Alligator mississippiensis: one gene and its partner. The protein of the gene in region 1 interacts with the protein of each later gene in a biochemical or structural test. Links are inferred from orthologs where the notes say so. Each region holds a gene or a part of one and is shown on either strand. Other genes may lie near its edges.

The links. The genes of interacting proteins can lie anywhere in the genome.
Region 2: the proteins of RARA (region 1) and NR0B2 form a complex in vitro, tested with the Homo sapiens proteins (2 studies listed by BioGRID). The link is inferred for Alligator mississippiensis from reciprocal best matches to the Homo sapiens genes RARA and NR0B2.

What each region holds. Positions count from the first base shown.
Region 1 is NC_081827.1:164,453,539-164,460,849, forward strand, and holds the start of RARA (retinoic acid receptor alpha), read right to left. Parts: upstream 3,001-7,311; 5' UTR 2,812-3,000; intron 1-2,811. UniProt on the Homo sapiens protein: Receptor for retinoic acid. Retinoic acid receptors bind as heterodimers to their target response elements in response to their ligands, all-trans or 9-cis retinoic acid, and regulate gene expression in various biological processes.
Region 2 is NC_081829.1:2,773,915-2,781,591, reverse strand, and holds the start of NR0B2 (nuclear receptor subfamily 0 group B member 2), read right to left. Parts: upstream 3,068-7,677; 5' UTR 2,980-3,067; intron 2,974-2,979; exon of another isoform or gene 1,981-2,973; 5' UTR 1,253-1,980; coding exon 733-1,252; intron 1-732. Other genes in the region: nuclear migration protein nudC, read left to right, coding at 3,774-3,869, 5,633-5,710. UniProt on the Homo sapiens protein: Transcriptional regulator that acts as a negative regulator of receptor-dependent signaling pathways. Specifically inhibits transactivation of the nuclear receptor with which it interacts.

The DNA of each region.
Region 1 (7,311 bases):
GCCTGAGTCTGCAGAGAGCCTAGCTTCCCAGCATCCCTGGACAGAGTGGGGGAGCCCACTTGGAAACTTAATGATAATTCCAATGCCAACAATCACATTAACTCTTCCACTGCTGAGCAGCTTGGCAGAAACAGCCAGCTGTGCTGATTGTATGTCACTCCTCCAATCTACACCCCCTGCAGCCCTGCACAGCCCACAGGCACCTGTCCCCTGGTACCTGCCATCAACATCAAGATCTGGGCTGTAGGATTACCCCCTATAAGTAGCCCACTGTGCTGCATGAGCTGTCAACTGAGCAACAGAGCACCAAGCCAACGCAGTGTAGCCTTCCAAAATGCCCTGCTCTCTCTGTGCTCCAATTTCCCCATCAGGACCTCAGGGGCATTGCTAGTGCCAGCATCGAGCTGCCGGAAACAGTCCTGGTGCTAAAAGAACAATGAATTATGCTGTCGGGGAGGCCTGCTCAGGGCAACCCAGTTCCATGACCCAGGAGGCCGAATGCCCCCCATGCCCACCTGTTTCAGGCAAGACAAGGACCTCAGCCACAGCTTTCTGCAGGGAGTGTGCCTTCCCTGCAGCAGTTGCTCTAGCCCTGAACTCATTTTCTTCAGCCCTGACCTGTGGCACAGTTACCAGGCTCTGCTTAGCAGGTCAGAAACTGAGGGGAGGAGAAGCTGTTGCGAGACCTGAGGACCCAGGCAGAATCGCTGGGCACTGCTCAAGTCAGCTCCCTGGTCTCAGCAAGGCTCCCTCTGGCAATCAACCTACTCACTTTAGCTGGCAAGCAGCAGGGGCAGAGCCCAGGGCCCAGATCACATCCAAGGCCCCTCCAACTCTCAAATGCAGGCTGGAGCACCTGGCCAGGCTCCCTGTACACAAGGGCTGCAGTCACACAAGTGTCATCCTGCACTAAGGGAAGGATCAACCCCACGTGGGAGCTTGGGGGAGGCAGCAAGTGGAGGGGGTGGGGCAGAAGGACACCCCCCCCCTTTCCTCTTTCCCCTGCACTGTTTGTAGCTGCGCCAGTGGATTGTCAGCTGCAGAGAAAGATTACTTCCTCCTGGGAGAATTACCTCCTCCAGCGGCAGGTTAGCACTGAGCTGTGCCAGGAAGCGACACAGACCCGATTCCCCACAACCCTTCTCCTGGGATGCAGCCCAATCCAACCCCTTAAATAACTCTGCAGATAAACAGAGCACAGACCCATGCTCTCGTGCCTGGCACCCAGGGGGCATGCAGCAGGGAAGGCAGCTCTCCCCAGACCAGCCCAAAGTCTACTCCGCACCATGTGACTGCTCTTTGGGACAGGGACCGTTCAGCTGCCTGGCCTGCACAGCACTTGTCAACCCCAATGCAGGACAAGATCAGAACCCAGCCAAACAGTAATGCTGCCAGCAAGAGGACCCCGGTGCCTCCAGCCACGGGTCCAGCAGAAAATCCCCATGGCTCCTGCTTCAGATCCCCAACACTGTCAGCTGCTGCACAGGCCCAGCCTCAGACAGATCCGATTAACTGTAACCACATAGAACTGCTCCCCTGCTCACGGCCGTGTGAACCCTGCTGGATTCATTTCAGAAGTGCTGTTATGGGGTTTCCTCTGCTTATCAGGCCAACAGCTCTTCCTTCTCCAAAACTTCATCCTAAAGAGGCAAACCCTCCTTGCCCTGCACCCTGCCTATCTGTCCACACCTCCCCAACCAGCACAACCACAGAGGGTGACAGGGTTCCCCGAGTCATTGCGCAGGCACCTCTGGAAAGCAGTGTCAGGCCATTTAAAGATCATGCCAAGCCGGGGAAAGTGACACACCAACAAAAGCGGCACTTCGAAACCTTCAAAAGCACAGAGGCCCCGTATCGCCACACCCACAGCCGTCGCTCTGGCCAAGGCAGAGCAGCAGGAGCTCCCCACCGCTTAACCTCACGTAACACCAGCAAAAGGGGAAGCGTGCTGAGGCGCAGCAATGGCTCACGGCTGGACGGGGCCTTAAAGGGGGGAGGGGGGGGGAATAAAGGAGCAAAAAAGTTCTCTGCAAAAAGTGCTTAGCTGGGAAAGGAGAGCCAGCTGGAGAAGCACTCAACCAAGGCACTCCAATGCATTGCAAGGTGTTTGCATGGAAATTAAGGGCTTGATGGAAAGCCTGGGATTTCCCGGAAAAAGGGCTACTTATACTTACCCTCACCCCAAATTCCAGAGGAGCCAGAGGAGGGGAGACCAGAGGAGGCAGTGGATGAAGGGCGGGGTGGGGTGGGGGTGAACCAAACACTACCACTGAGAAGCCCCTGGAGGCTATTAACCACACCAGCACCCCCCACCCCGCCAGGATGCAGCCAGGAAGGGGAGCATGGGGAGGGGGTGACAGCTGGGAATGCGTAGCCACAACCTGCTGCAACAGTTGGGTGCGAACACTTGGGGCTTGGGGGAGGGGGGCGCAGGACAAGGGGATCAAGCCACGCATGCTCCCCCGCGGAAAACCACCCCAGCCATGCTCACTCCCCCCTCCCCCAAGCAGCACAATAGCAGCGTGCCTCCCCCCGCCTGCCCCCCAGCCCCCCCATCTATGGTCACAACGCCTGAGTGACCGGAGCAGCGGGCCCTGTCACTTGGGGAGAGGAACCTGGGCTGCATTTGCAGCAAATCCAAACAAACTGGCAGGGTGCAAGTGGGGGGGTCTGCAATGTGCGCTAGGATGTGGAGTCTGGGGGGGAAAGGAGAGAGACTCCCTCTCCCCAGCCTCACCCCGCAGGAAGCGCCCCCCCCCCAGCGCACCCAGGGGAAAGTTTGCGAAGAAGGCGGGCGGAGCCGGGAGTTACCTTGCAGAGAAAGGAGCGGGCGCCTCCCCGGCCCTGCGCGACTCAGGCACCCGCGTGGCGTGCAACCCGCGGCCGCATCGTGCCCAGCCCAGCCCCGGGCCTCGCTCCGGCGGCGGCGGCGGCGGCAACGGCGCGGGGCAATGGGACGCGGCGCTGGCGGGGCGCGCGCTCAGCGCGGGGCGACAGCAGCCATTGCCCGTCATGTGCTTCGGCTGAAACTTTACACTGGGCGGGGGGGAACGGGCCGCGCGGGGACACGCCCCCTGCCCGCAGCCAACCAATGGAGAGCGGGGGGCGGGCCCGGTCGCTGCCGACTAACCCTTTGAAGTGTCTAGACCTCCCGAGGGGAGGGGAGGGGAGGGGCTTCTTAAAGCGGCAGCTCATTTTTTTTTTTTTTTTTTTTTTGAGTGGGGGCGGTGAGGGGGGAGTTGGGGAGGGAGGGAGGGACGTCTGGTGGCTCGGGCTGGGAGTGTGGACGCTTGGGTTCACACCCCAGCTGGGCCCCTACACCTGAAGTCACCTCGCACCCTGCCTCAGTTTCCCTACCTGTCAAAGGGCCCCAGGAGGCTGCAGGGAGGATGCCCCTAAACGGCATCGGGCCCCTCAGCCACCGGGCCCCTCAGCCACCGGGCGCAGGAGACAAGACCCTGGTGTGGGAGCAGCTGGGCCCTGCTTTCCTAGCCCCGGTGCCCAGGAGTCAGCCAGTCCCCATCGGGGCATCTTGGGTAACAGCCTCCTTCCCGGCCCTGCGGGGACCCTGTGACGTGGCGCCCGTGTTAGCAGCGCTCTGGACTCCGTGACCCAGGAAGTCCCATCCCATCCCGTGCTCCTTCCAGCGCTCTGCCAGACGCAGCCTTGGCTCCCAGGTCAGGCCACGGCGCCGGTGCTCCACGCCCAGCCCCACGGGGCCCACTCCCCTGCACGCTGGAGGCCTGGGGGCATCTGCCTGTGCCTGTGCCCTCTGTGACATGGCTCTCCTTATCAAAGGAAATCCTCTCCCCTGGCCTTGCACGCACATGCGCTCCCTGCCCCTTATCTGCTCTTCGCTGGGTTATGCTCTGCTCCCACGCAGGAGGTGGGTTCTGGTGCCCTGCTCCTGGTACCAGCCAACTTCAGGCTGCAGACACAGAATCCAAGCCCAGTACCAGCTGGAGGAGGAAATGTCCCACCGTAGAGGCCCCTCTGCAGCAGAGATACTCAAAGCCCGGCCCCCAGCCGACAGGCTGAGCTCAAACCAGAGCAATGCATCTGAGACATTGAGGCCTGGTTGCCCTCTGGAAGTCACTGGGAGTTCCCAGTCATCCTGGCTAGTACCCATGGCGGGCACGGAGCCAACTGAGACGCGCGGTACAGACTGGTCCCACACCCCCACATTTGCCATGTGGAGCTTGGGGCAGGATCCAGTGTCTGCCCACGGCAGGCCCCAAGCCAAACGAGACTGTGAATCAGGCAGATGGTGCTTTGTAAGGGGTTAACTCTGCTTGACTGCGAAAGGGGAAGAAGTAAAGAAAAAAAAACAAATCTCTGTGTTTCAGTGCTGGCTACCTCTCCCCCTCTGAGAAGCTGGGCGCAGGGTTAAGGCACCAAGAGGCAGGAGAGGGTAGCCTCCTTCCTCCAGTAGCTAGGAGATACTGGTGCCTTGCGTGGCACCCTACCACCCCCACCCTGTACCTGCTTCCCACCCGCCCCAGGCTAGCCCCCATGGCACTAGGACAGCTGCGTTCTCACTTGTCTGGGCGCAAGGCGCACTGTTGTTCTTGTCTATTAATTGCCGGTAAGGGACCGGAAACTCAACTGAAGATGGAGAAGGGGGCGGTGCAGAGGCCTCAGCCCCTGATTGATGGGCTGGTGTCTCTACCAGGAGCCCCTAGGTCCCGGCTGATACATGCAGGACAGGGGGAGGGAGGGCATTTCCAGCAATGTCCTGGTCTGGCAGGGTGTGAAGGACTGGGGGTGTGAAGCCAGGTGCCTCACCCACTGCTACCCACCACCCACTCTCTGGGAGACAGCGGGTGACAAGGAAGAGGAAAGCCCCCTGCCTGGGTCTGAATGTGCTGGGCCCTGTGGGCTGAGGTCTGGTGCCCACAGTGGACCACTTAGCTAAATGCTGGAGGTGACAGCTGAGCCCACTGTCCAGGTGGCACACACTGTGGGCACTGTCATCGCCAGACAGGTGAGATTACCCTAGCGACTCCCTAGGTCAGTGCACTCTGCCCCTGCCCATTTCCACAGGAGATGGAGCCTGGCCCCAGTTCAGATCTCCACCCTGGCAACTCCCTTCCCTCCACTGAGACTCCCCCAGCCAGTTTTGCGGCCTTCTGGGCTCCTCACACTCTGTCCCAAGATATCACTGCATAGCCTCATTCCACACCAGAGGTGGCTGCATTTTACTGGCCAAAGAGAGACCCCAAGGCTCATGGGCAATCCATGGTACTGCATGCAAGGAACCTGTGCTGGAAGGACAGGACAGCGGCTGCAAAGCCAAGTGCTCAATGATGGTGGAAGGACAGTCGCATGCACAGGGGCTGACAAACGGGTGCGGGGCACCCTTAATTCCTTGCATTGCTACCAGCCCTGCCCACAAGACAGCCAGGGCAGACAATGGAGCTAGCAGCTGCAAGGAAGCAGGCTCTGCTACAGTCTAGGTTATGGTAATACCTAGAAGCTTCCACAGAGACCAAGCTTCTTCCTTCTCCTTGCACCAGCAGGCACCTACTGAGATTATGGTCCCGGTGGCGCTAGGCACTGCCCAGACTAAGCCTCAGCTCAAGTCAGGACCTCCATCACACTGTATACTGCTCTGACACGGAGTGAGACAGCCCTGGGCCCAAATAGCTAGAAGTCTAAACAGACAAAGGGTGAGAGTGGAAACTGAGGCACAAAGCAGGGCTGGATCCTTCTGGGTACCCAGTGTGGCTCACCTGGTCCTGCTGACACCACTGCATCTGGCTGGAGGGGCCTGCCCCTGCATCCTAGAACAGAGAGCCCAAGCCCCGAGCATTCAAAGACCCTGGAACCGTGCACTGGGGAGTGTCTGTTCTGCCCAGAACAAAGTGCCTGTGGGGTCCAGCAACTCCACACCCTGCCCTTGTAATGGAGCTGAGCCTGGGAGGGCCTGGCCTTCAGGAAGCCTGTACTCTGTCCGAGTCTCTGCCCAGCACCTTGCCCAGCTTATTCCAGCCCTGCCCCTCCATGACCCATCCCGCTTAGAGTTGCCCTGGGACAGAGCTAGGACAGGAGCCTTGGATGGGGCAATGCACTCTCTGTCCCCTTCCCTTGCCCTCCTCGCACTGACCCCTGCCCGATCCCCGCAGCACTGCAAGCCACGGCCTAACCATGGCACAGCCCAGCCTGTCCCAGCCCCATGCTCCTGCAGGGGAGTCCCCAACCCCCACCCTGGCCTGCATCTCCAACAGCACTCACCCACCCAGCATGCACCACCAGCCCTTCCCCTCCCCCAGCCCAGAGAGTGACAGATTTATCTTGTCCTGCAAAGAAAAGGCTTCTGGAACCTTTTAACCAGGCAGAGGGGCCCAGGAGGAGGCAGGGGCTGGATCTCACTGGAGTTCCCTCTGCCTGGAACTCGGCCCGCTACCCTACTCAACCCCCATCCTCCCCCCCAGCCCCTCCACTGGCCCCCACCCCCCAGCTTCCTCCTTGTACTCCAGCCATTCCTGTTCAGGGTTTTTTACTCCCTCATCCTTGGAGGATTCCTTGCCATTGAAACTCAGACCCCTTGTTAATTAATTGAGATCGCTGTGAACACAGATGCGCTCAGTAACAGCACCCTCAGCAGACAGCCCCAACCTCAGTGCCCTTTGCACTGGTAAGGAGCATTGTGCCATGTGTGCTGCAAATGCCATCCCTATCCTGCAGCGAAGGGAAACTGAGGCATGGATAGGGGTAAGCAGCTATAAGTTAAGTGCTAAGTGGCTGGGGGGGTGGGGGGAAGGCAAGGCTGGGGCTGGAACTGGAACCCAGGAGTCCTGCCCAAAATATCCATGCCCAAAATGCTGGACCCTGCTCCCTGCCACAGCTCTCCCCAGGAGAGAGATGGGCAGTTATTGCCAGGGTGTAGGGAATGCAGATCAGCTAGGATGAAGTAACAAAACAGTAGCATGAGGGTGCACACATTTGGGTGCTCATATGTGAGTGTGCATATGTGGGTGTGTACATATTGGCACACCTGCAGGATTGTGCATGTTCTGTGTGCCTGGCTGGTGTCCATATGCAGACCTGCTGGCATGAGTGTGCAAGTACAGGTGTGAGGCCATAAGTGTGTACGTGGTAGGTGTGCATAAGTATACATGTGTGTGTGCAGCTGAGCTCAGGCATATGGGCCTGAATGTACATGCCTTGCCCAGTCTGGTCACAGCCAAGGGACCCCTTGGCATATTTGCTGTGTGAATGCATACATTCAGGCATGTGTGCATGTGCATGCAGACCTACATGCATGCAGGGGTAAGCATGCATGTGAGAGAATGTAGGCCTGGGTGTGCA
Region 2 (7,677 bases), on another chromosome or scaffold:
GGAGAGAGAAAGGAGGAACAATTGAAATGTGAATTACGGGCTCTGCTTCCCAGCCTAAGCACCAATCTCAATCCCACTCACTGGCACTTGACTTCCTCTCTGGAATATTTTGGCATATTCCTGCTGCTGCAATCAAGCTTAATTTCTTTCTACTGAGCACACGCATGTGAACAGACAGAAACACACACACCTTAACCATCTATAGCACAGAGACCCTAAAGTACTTCATAAACCATGCAAGGCAGCACCACTGAGATGCAGCCACTTCTGGGGTGGAAGGAGCTCTTTACTACCGTGCAGCATAACCATGGAAGAGAAATACTGACCGGTGAAACCAGGGACAACTCCAGCTTTCCAAATTGTGCCCTGGGATCTTTACTGTCTACGGTCTTATTCAAAATATTTCCCCAAAGCATATGGCAAGGGACTGATTTCCAGAAGTCAGTGGGAATTAAGGATGCTTAGCACCTCTGAAATTAGCCTCTACAACAGTCTGGGCCTCGGTCTACCTGTCTGTAAAATGGGGCTACTCTTCCTACTTTTGAGCTACTGGAATGAAAAGTGTGAAATGTTAACATTATGGATTAATGACATTAAGATAATCCTCCCCATTGCTCACGTGTGTATGTGCGTGCGTGCGCGCACACACACACACACACGTACACGCGTGCTTTCAAGCAGCCCAGACCAGATTCTCTGTGTAGTACCCTCTGCCCTGCTGAGAGCACTCACCAGGGTTGAAAAGAATGGCTCCTTTCAGGTAGGCATACTCCTTAGGGCTCAGGTCCAGGCTCCAGAACGTGTTCAGGCAGCACTGCAGCCGCTGCACCCCGGCTAGGGTGGGTTGTGTCCTCTCAAGCTCCTGCCTCTTGCTCTGGCCATTGAGGAGAATGTTCTTGAGCATGCTGGGGGCCGGGGTCTCCATCACGTCGAATGTCACCATCTCTTGAACCAACCCCAGAATGAAGAGAGGAGCCCAGCAACTGTCCAGCAGGAGGAGCTGGTCCTCCCGGGGCAGCAGCTGGAAGGAGGGCAGGTTCTTCATGAAGCTGACTGTTTTCACCAGGACATCAGAGGCCGCCTGGCAGGTGACCTGGGGTGTCTGGAGGCAGACGGTGCGACGCTTCTGGCACCGGCAGCGCTGCTGGGATGGGCTATGATTGTGGTTCAGGTTTTGGCTCAGGAGGGTATAGAGGATGGCGTTCCGGTTCTCTTCGCTGTGGCACTGGCATCTCTCATAGTCCACGTCCATGCTGCCTGCACTCAGAGCTCTGCCCACCAAGCAGATCCCACTGACTCTGAAGGAGGAGGTGATCTGGGTGCACTTGACAGGCTGAGTCTGTGAGCACAACCGCGAACTCCTGTGCCCGTCAAAGCTCTCCGACTGCAGCCTCTTCCACTGAGCTCAGCTGCCTCAACCCTCTGGCTGCTACGCTCAGTGGTATTTATAAGGCGCTGGCGGTGAGTGGAACACCCCCTTCCACCCTTGACCTCTCTTTGACAAAGCAGCATTCATTAAAAAACAAGTTGACTCTCGCCTGATTGGCTGGGGAAGCGAGTTCTTCATGTGGCGTCAAGAAGTGTTTTCTCAATGAAAGTGCCAGCCAGGGCCAGGAGGACGGGACAGAATGGCAGGCTGGGCAGCTGGCTTATCTCGGTTGTCCAAACAGGATAAACAATGTCGATAACCCAGCCTGTACCATGGTACCAAGGCCCCGATGCGTAATCAGGCAGTACTGTATGACAGGTGTCATTGCCAAGGAGCGCGCACATGCACACACAGCACTTGTCTGGAGCAGGAGCCCGGTGGCAAACAACCTGTAGGCTCTGGCCTTGGAAAGAGCAACCTGGAAGTCATGTTATCAGCAGGTTGTTTGTCTAACCTTGTTGACAGCAGGCTGCTGTCGTTACAGATAACGAAAAGAAACCCAACGGACTGAGGGCATCTGGTTCTCGGATCAAGGCTGGGACCTGGGGTACCTGGTGTCAGAAAAACACGGGGGGGTTTGAGAATCAGATTTCATTAAACCAACATCTCGAGAGAGCCTCTCCCTTCCCTTCTCTTGGTGGTGGATGGTTCCTTCTCGGCCTGGAGGGAGGTGGGCAGTGGGGTCCCGCAGGGTTCGGTCCTCAGACCGGTATTATTTAATATCTTCATCAGCGATTTGGATGAGGGCGTGGAGAGCACCCTCTCCAAGTTTGCTGATGATACCAAGTTATGGGGCAAAGTTAGTACACCGGAGGGGAGGGAGCAGATTCAGGCTGACCTGGACAGGTTGGAGCAATGGGCAGAGAGAAATAGGATGCAATTTAATAAAAATAAATGTAAGGTGCTCCACCTGGGAAGGAGGAACCCCCAGCACACCTGTAGGTTGGGGAGTGTCCTTCTCAGCAGCTCGGAGGCAGAGAGGGATCTTGGAGTCGTAATCGACTCCAAGATGAACGTGAGCCGGCAGTGTAACGAGGCCATCCACAAGGCCAGTCGCACCTTGTCGTGCATTAGCAGGTGCATGACTGACAGATCAAAGGAGGTGACGCTCCCCCTCTACGTGGCACTGGTCAGGCAGCAGTTGCAGTGCTGTGTCCAGTTTTGGGCGCCGCACTTCAGGAGGGACGCGGGGAATCTGGAGAGATCGAGAGGAGGCCACTCGCATGATTCGTGGCCTTCGGGAAAGACCCTACGGGGGAGGTCGAGAGAGCTGAATCTCTTCAGCCTTCACAAGGGACAGCTGAGGGGAGACCTTGTGGCCGCCTATAAATTTATTAGGAGAGGTCAACAGGGGATAGGGGAAGCGCTGTTTACTAGGGCGCCCCAGGGAGTGACTAGGAATAAGGGGTGTAAACTAGTTGAGAGTGGATTTAGGTTAGATATTAGGAAGACATTTTTCACAGTCAGGGTGGCCAGGATCTGGAACGGGATCCCAAGAGAGGTGGTGCTATCACCTAGCTTGGAGATCTTCACGAGGAGGATATAGTCACCTGGCTAGGGTCGTCTGCCCTCGGCCCTCTTTCCTGCCAGGGGCAGGGGTCGGACGTGATGATCCACTGTGGTCCCTTCCGACTCTGCAATCTATGAATCTATGGAACACGGGGGGGACACGGGACTGAGTCCGTGGCTCCCAGCCCCGCTGCCTGCAGCCCGTCTCCATCCTCTCCGTGCGTCGCCTTTCAGGTAGTTGAAGCCGCCATCGAATCCCGCTTCAGCCTTCTCTTCTGCCGGCCCACTGCTTTCAGCTGCTCTGGGCCGTGGCGTTCGCGTCGCAATGCGCCGCACCCCGCCGGATCTATCCCGCGCCGTCTTCTTGCGCTGCGGAGCCGCCCAGGCGGGAGAGCAAGGGAGGAATTGTGTGGGAGAAGGTGGGGGGGGTCCTTCCCCTCCCCACAACCCTGCGCTGCTAGGGGTGACCTCTCCCTCTGTGACCCCTGACCTCCAGGCAAGGCTGTGACCCCATCACTCGTGTCACCCCCTTCCCCCACGAATCCTTTCAACCATCCCTTTAAAGGCCTAACCCAGCCGCGACCCCTGCCCTCCGACGCCCAACGGGCCACGCGGAGCCTTCTGGAAGGCGCGAGACGGCGCCGGTCTCTATAGCAACCAGCGCCGCGCGCCTGTGCCGCGCTAAGCGCCCGCCCTCCTCCCCCCCCCGTCTGCGGATTGGGCGCGGCGGCGGCCAATCAACGAGGGGTCGCGGGAGGAATGCGGCGCGTTGATTGGTGGGGGAGCCCGTTTCCGCTTCCGGGCGAGGGGTCGCGGGCAGCGGTTGCGGGTCGCCATGGGGCTGAGCGCGGAGGAGGTAGCGGAGCAGGAGGACCGCTTCGATGGCATGCTCCTGGCCATGGCGCAGCAGCACCCGGGCGGCGTGCGGGAGGTAGCGCCGGGCGGCCGGGGGGCGGGGGTCTTCCTCTTCCTCCTGCAGCCTCTAGGCCGTGCCCCTCGCCTCGGCGCCTGATGCCCCTTTCCGCCCGTACTTAACCTCGACTCCCCTTGCTGCAGCGGGAGCCCCCCGCTCCTTGCGCGTGTGCGGACAGTCCGGCTTCGCGCCCGTCGTGGGACGAGCGCCGGCGTGTCTCGAGGGGACTTGCTGGTTTTGCCAGCTGCTTCTACAGGCGTCGAGTGACGCAGTCTCAGCCCCGCCGCCGCCGCCAAACACGTCGTTTTCACGGGCTCTCAGAAGCACGAAGCACCGACTCCGGCGGAGCGAGTAAAGCAGAGGCTCCCGACCGCTAGGTCGCGGCGGGTCGGCTGCCGCGCTGGAGGTCCGGAAGCGACCGGCGTACCGTGGAGCGGCAGCCAATCCTCTTTTTAGATTGAGCCTAAAAAAGGGTCGGCTGTCGCTCCCCAGTACACCGGTCACTTCCGGTCCGTGGCTTGCCGGTCCGCAGCCTAAAAAAGTTGGGATGCCCTGGAGTAAAGCCCCTGAAGTACATAAGAAGGGTGCCCAAACGTTCCCGTCTGTGAAATGGGAACAAAGGCATCAACCTTTGCGAAGTGCCGTGGGATTTGTCCACGAAGAGACCGCACTTCATAAAGATCCAGAGGCCTTAAGCAGCTCGGGCCCCGTCTTCCGGGGTCGTTTTAGGAGCACCGAACATTCGTGACAGCGCCATGCCTGCGGCCCTCCCGGTGTTTGCCAGCAGTCCGTGCATTCCTTAATGTTGCAAATGTTTTCCTCCGTTTAACTCCCCGCGCTTAAAGGAGGCATCGGCGGTTGCGCTGGGAAAGCATTCGCACTTAAACGGGTTGTCACGTTAATTATTAGCATGGCGCCATTGGCGTGCGGGGGCTGAACAGCTATCCAAGAAAGGCGAGGGTCTCGCCTCGTGCTGCAGTTTAGGCAGCGTCCAGGCTGAGGGATGAAAAGCTCGCTGGTGAGTAGCGGTGTGGCGGGTGGCTCGTTTGCCACTCGGGTCCCTGAGCCTGGCCATGCTCTGGCTGTAGCCATGGTGGAAGGAAACTGTTGAAACACAAATGCGATGTCTCTGGCCCCTATAGAAGGGGTTTCTTTGCTGCTGATCCTCCCAATCAAACAGTTGCTGTGGCAACTGGTGCACAGCGCTTCAAGCAACCTAGGAGGATAAGGTATAGGAAGGCTAAGTCATTGTGGTTCTTGGGAATGAGTCTGCCCACACTGGCTATGGAAACGAATAGCAACACTATTTATACCAGCATTGCGCTGCTTCCAGCTGAGGTGTGGGCAGAGACCATCTTGGTGAGCACCACGTGCTCTGCTGTCTCCTCTAATCTAGTCCGTCAGAGCCAACTGATAAAAGTGGTTCTTTGTCTTCATGTCCCATGTATCTGGACCAGCATGCAATGCCGTTCTTCAGTTCGAGCTGCTACTTCTCTCTGTCCGTGGGCTCCCTGTGAAAACCTAATTAGAGGAAAAGGCCAAAAATGCTTCACCAAATCGTTGGAGCGACCATGTAAAGATTCTGCTAGATCAGCTGCTTGGAAGTAAGAACAAGGAAGCGAGAAGTTGTCTTCTCGGCTACCTGCTGAGTGAAGACTTGCTCATCGCAATACTGCTAAGATCTAGATTTGCTCCCTTTCCTTGTAGGCTCTCTTGCAGCTCAGACTCTTTAATTCAGGTCTCTTGACGTTACCTGTCTTCTTGTGTTTTTCTTTTTCCAGCTTGTGAACACGTTCTTCAGTTTCCTGAGACGGAAAACGGATTTCTTCACAGGTGGAGAAGACGGAGTGGCAGAGAAGGTAAAAAAACAACTAATCCTTCCCCCTCACAGACCCTTATGTGTCATTTTTATGTGCTCGGGCCCAGCTGTTCACGTCGAGATGCTTCCTGCCTCTGGCAGACATCTGACCTGTGTGCCACAAAGTGCTTTCTTCCTGTTGCCGTGTGGTATCTTCAAACTGTGCCCAATGTTTGCGATGCTGCAGAAATATACCAGTGAAACAAGGTAGGAGTGAGCTGCCCTTGTCCATGGCTGAGCTTGTTTGCTTGTCGAATAATATCAATGGTGAAGGTTTTTGTCACGCTGTGGCCAAAGGGTTGTTTGAAAAGCAAGCCTGCCAGACACACTGACTTAACGTTGACAGACACCGCGGGATCAATAACCCTAAGTTACCTTGTTTATTCATCTCAGAAAAGCACAAAGTCCGTCTCCCTGCCCATGCAGCTGCCCCTGTGCCTCTGAGTGCAGGGCTGATACAATCCAAATGTGTTGGGGGCACCGGAGGTGGTCAAAATAAGGAAAAGCCAGCAGCGTGTGATACACACTTGATGCTTTACAACCCCACCAGTGGGTGGCTTCAGAACATAGCTCAGGAAACATTGCCATGTCATATATAGAGGGAAAGCTTACAATTGCCAGTGCTGCATAGAATATACCTGCTGCCTAACCTGCAAGGGGAGGGAGATGGGGAAACCCCAACACAGAGCTAGGGTGAAAATGAGTGAAATCTGCAAAAGAGCTGCAAGAGTTTTTTTAGGAACAAATCTTCCCCATCTCACAGGGACAGGCATATATGTGTAGAATCAATGTGTGACGATGATTAGCACTGTATTTATAGAGCTTCTGCCGATTGGCACTCCAGAGCATAAGCAAGAGGAGCTTTGAGGCATTGGCTAGAGGCAGGGACTGACTGTCAGGATGCCTGGCTTCGGCTGTGCGCTACATAGGAGGGGATGGCTCCCTGCCCCAGTGCCCCCTCTGGAACTGGACTAGAATACTGGTTTTTGTAAAGTGCTTTGCAAGCCTCTGAACGAAGGACACTGAATACAAGCCCGTGCTGATTGTGTCTCTGTCAACACAGTCCCCCAGCTAGAGCTTGAAGAGGCCATTTATTCTCTCCCACTTCCCCCTTCCCCTTTGGAACTCTTAACACAGCCCCTTGGGCCTGAAACATTTAATTGAATCTAGCAGGAGGGAAACCACCAGGCTGAACCACCTTTTGAGACTGGGGAAAGATTGTGGAAGGACTCCTATCCCCTTCCATTCTCCTCCCAACATGATGGACCTGCCTGGTATTTTTATGGCTCTTTGGAGACTTGCTTGTTCTCCCATGTTTGTAGGCAAAGGCTTCATAATCTCTTCTTCATCGTTGCAGTCTGCAGTCAGTGCTGTAACTAGCTGGGGGTTTGATTTCTGTAAGCTGCTCTGGGATAGTTCATCCTGAAAGGGGCTGATCATGTCCTTGGAACTTCTTTGAATTAATATCTTACTCCTTGGCATAAGAGATCTTCTTTTCCCTCCCATCTGGCTCCTGACCCTGGATAGTATCCTTCCTGTGGAAGCATTACCTTGATGCCTGTAGGAAGGCTGAGTTTCACTACGTGCTGTCTTGCACGGTACCTGTGGTATTATCAATAGCTGGGTTATTGCTCCAGGTTGGCCTCTTGCCTGTTTACTTAGCTCTGCCTCTGAACGCTACAGCCCTTTACATCGTAGACTTTGATGTTCTGCCTTTCACAGCTGTACCTGAGCCCTTGCGATACAAGAGACTTGAGATTGCTTGGAGAGAAGATTATATATGAATTTATTCCTCAATGATATCATTCATCTTTCAGCTGCCTCTCCTAGAAATTTTGGCAGGGGGATTTACAGAATGGACTGAACACACATTCTCTAGCACGTGGGGAAAGTTCAGGCTGACAAAGCCTTCCTTAATGTGCCTGGCTCGTGTCTGCATCCAGTTCATGAAAGCATGTTTCACTTGCA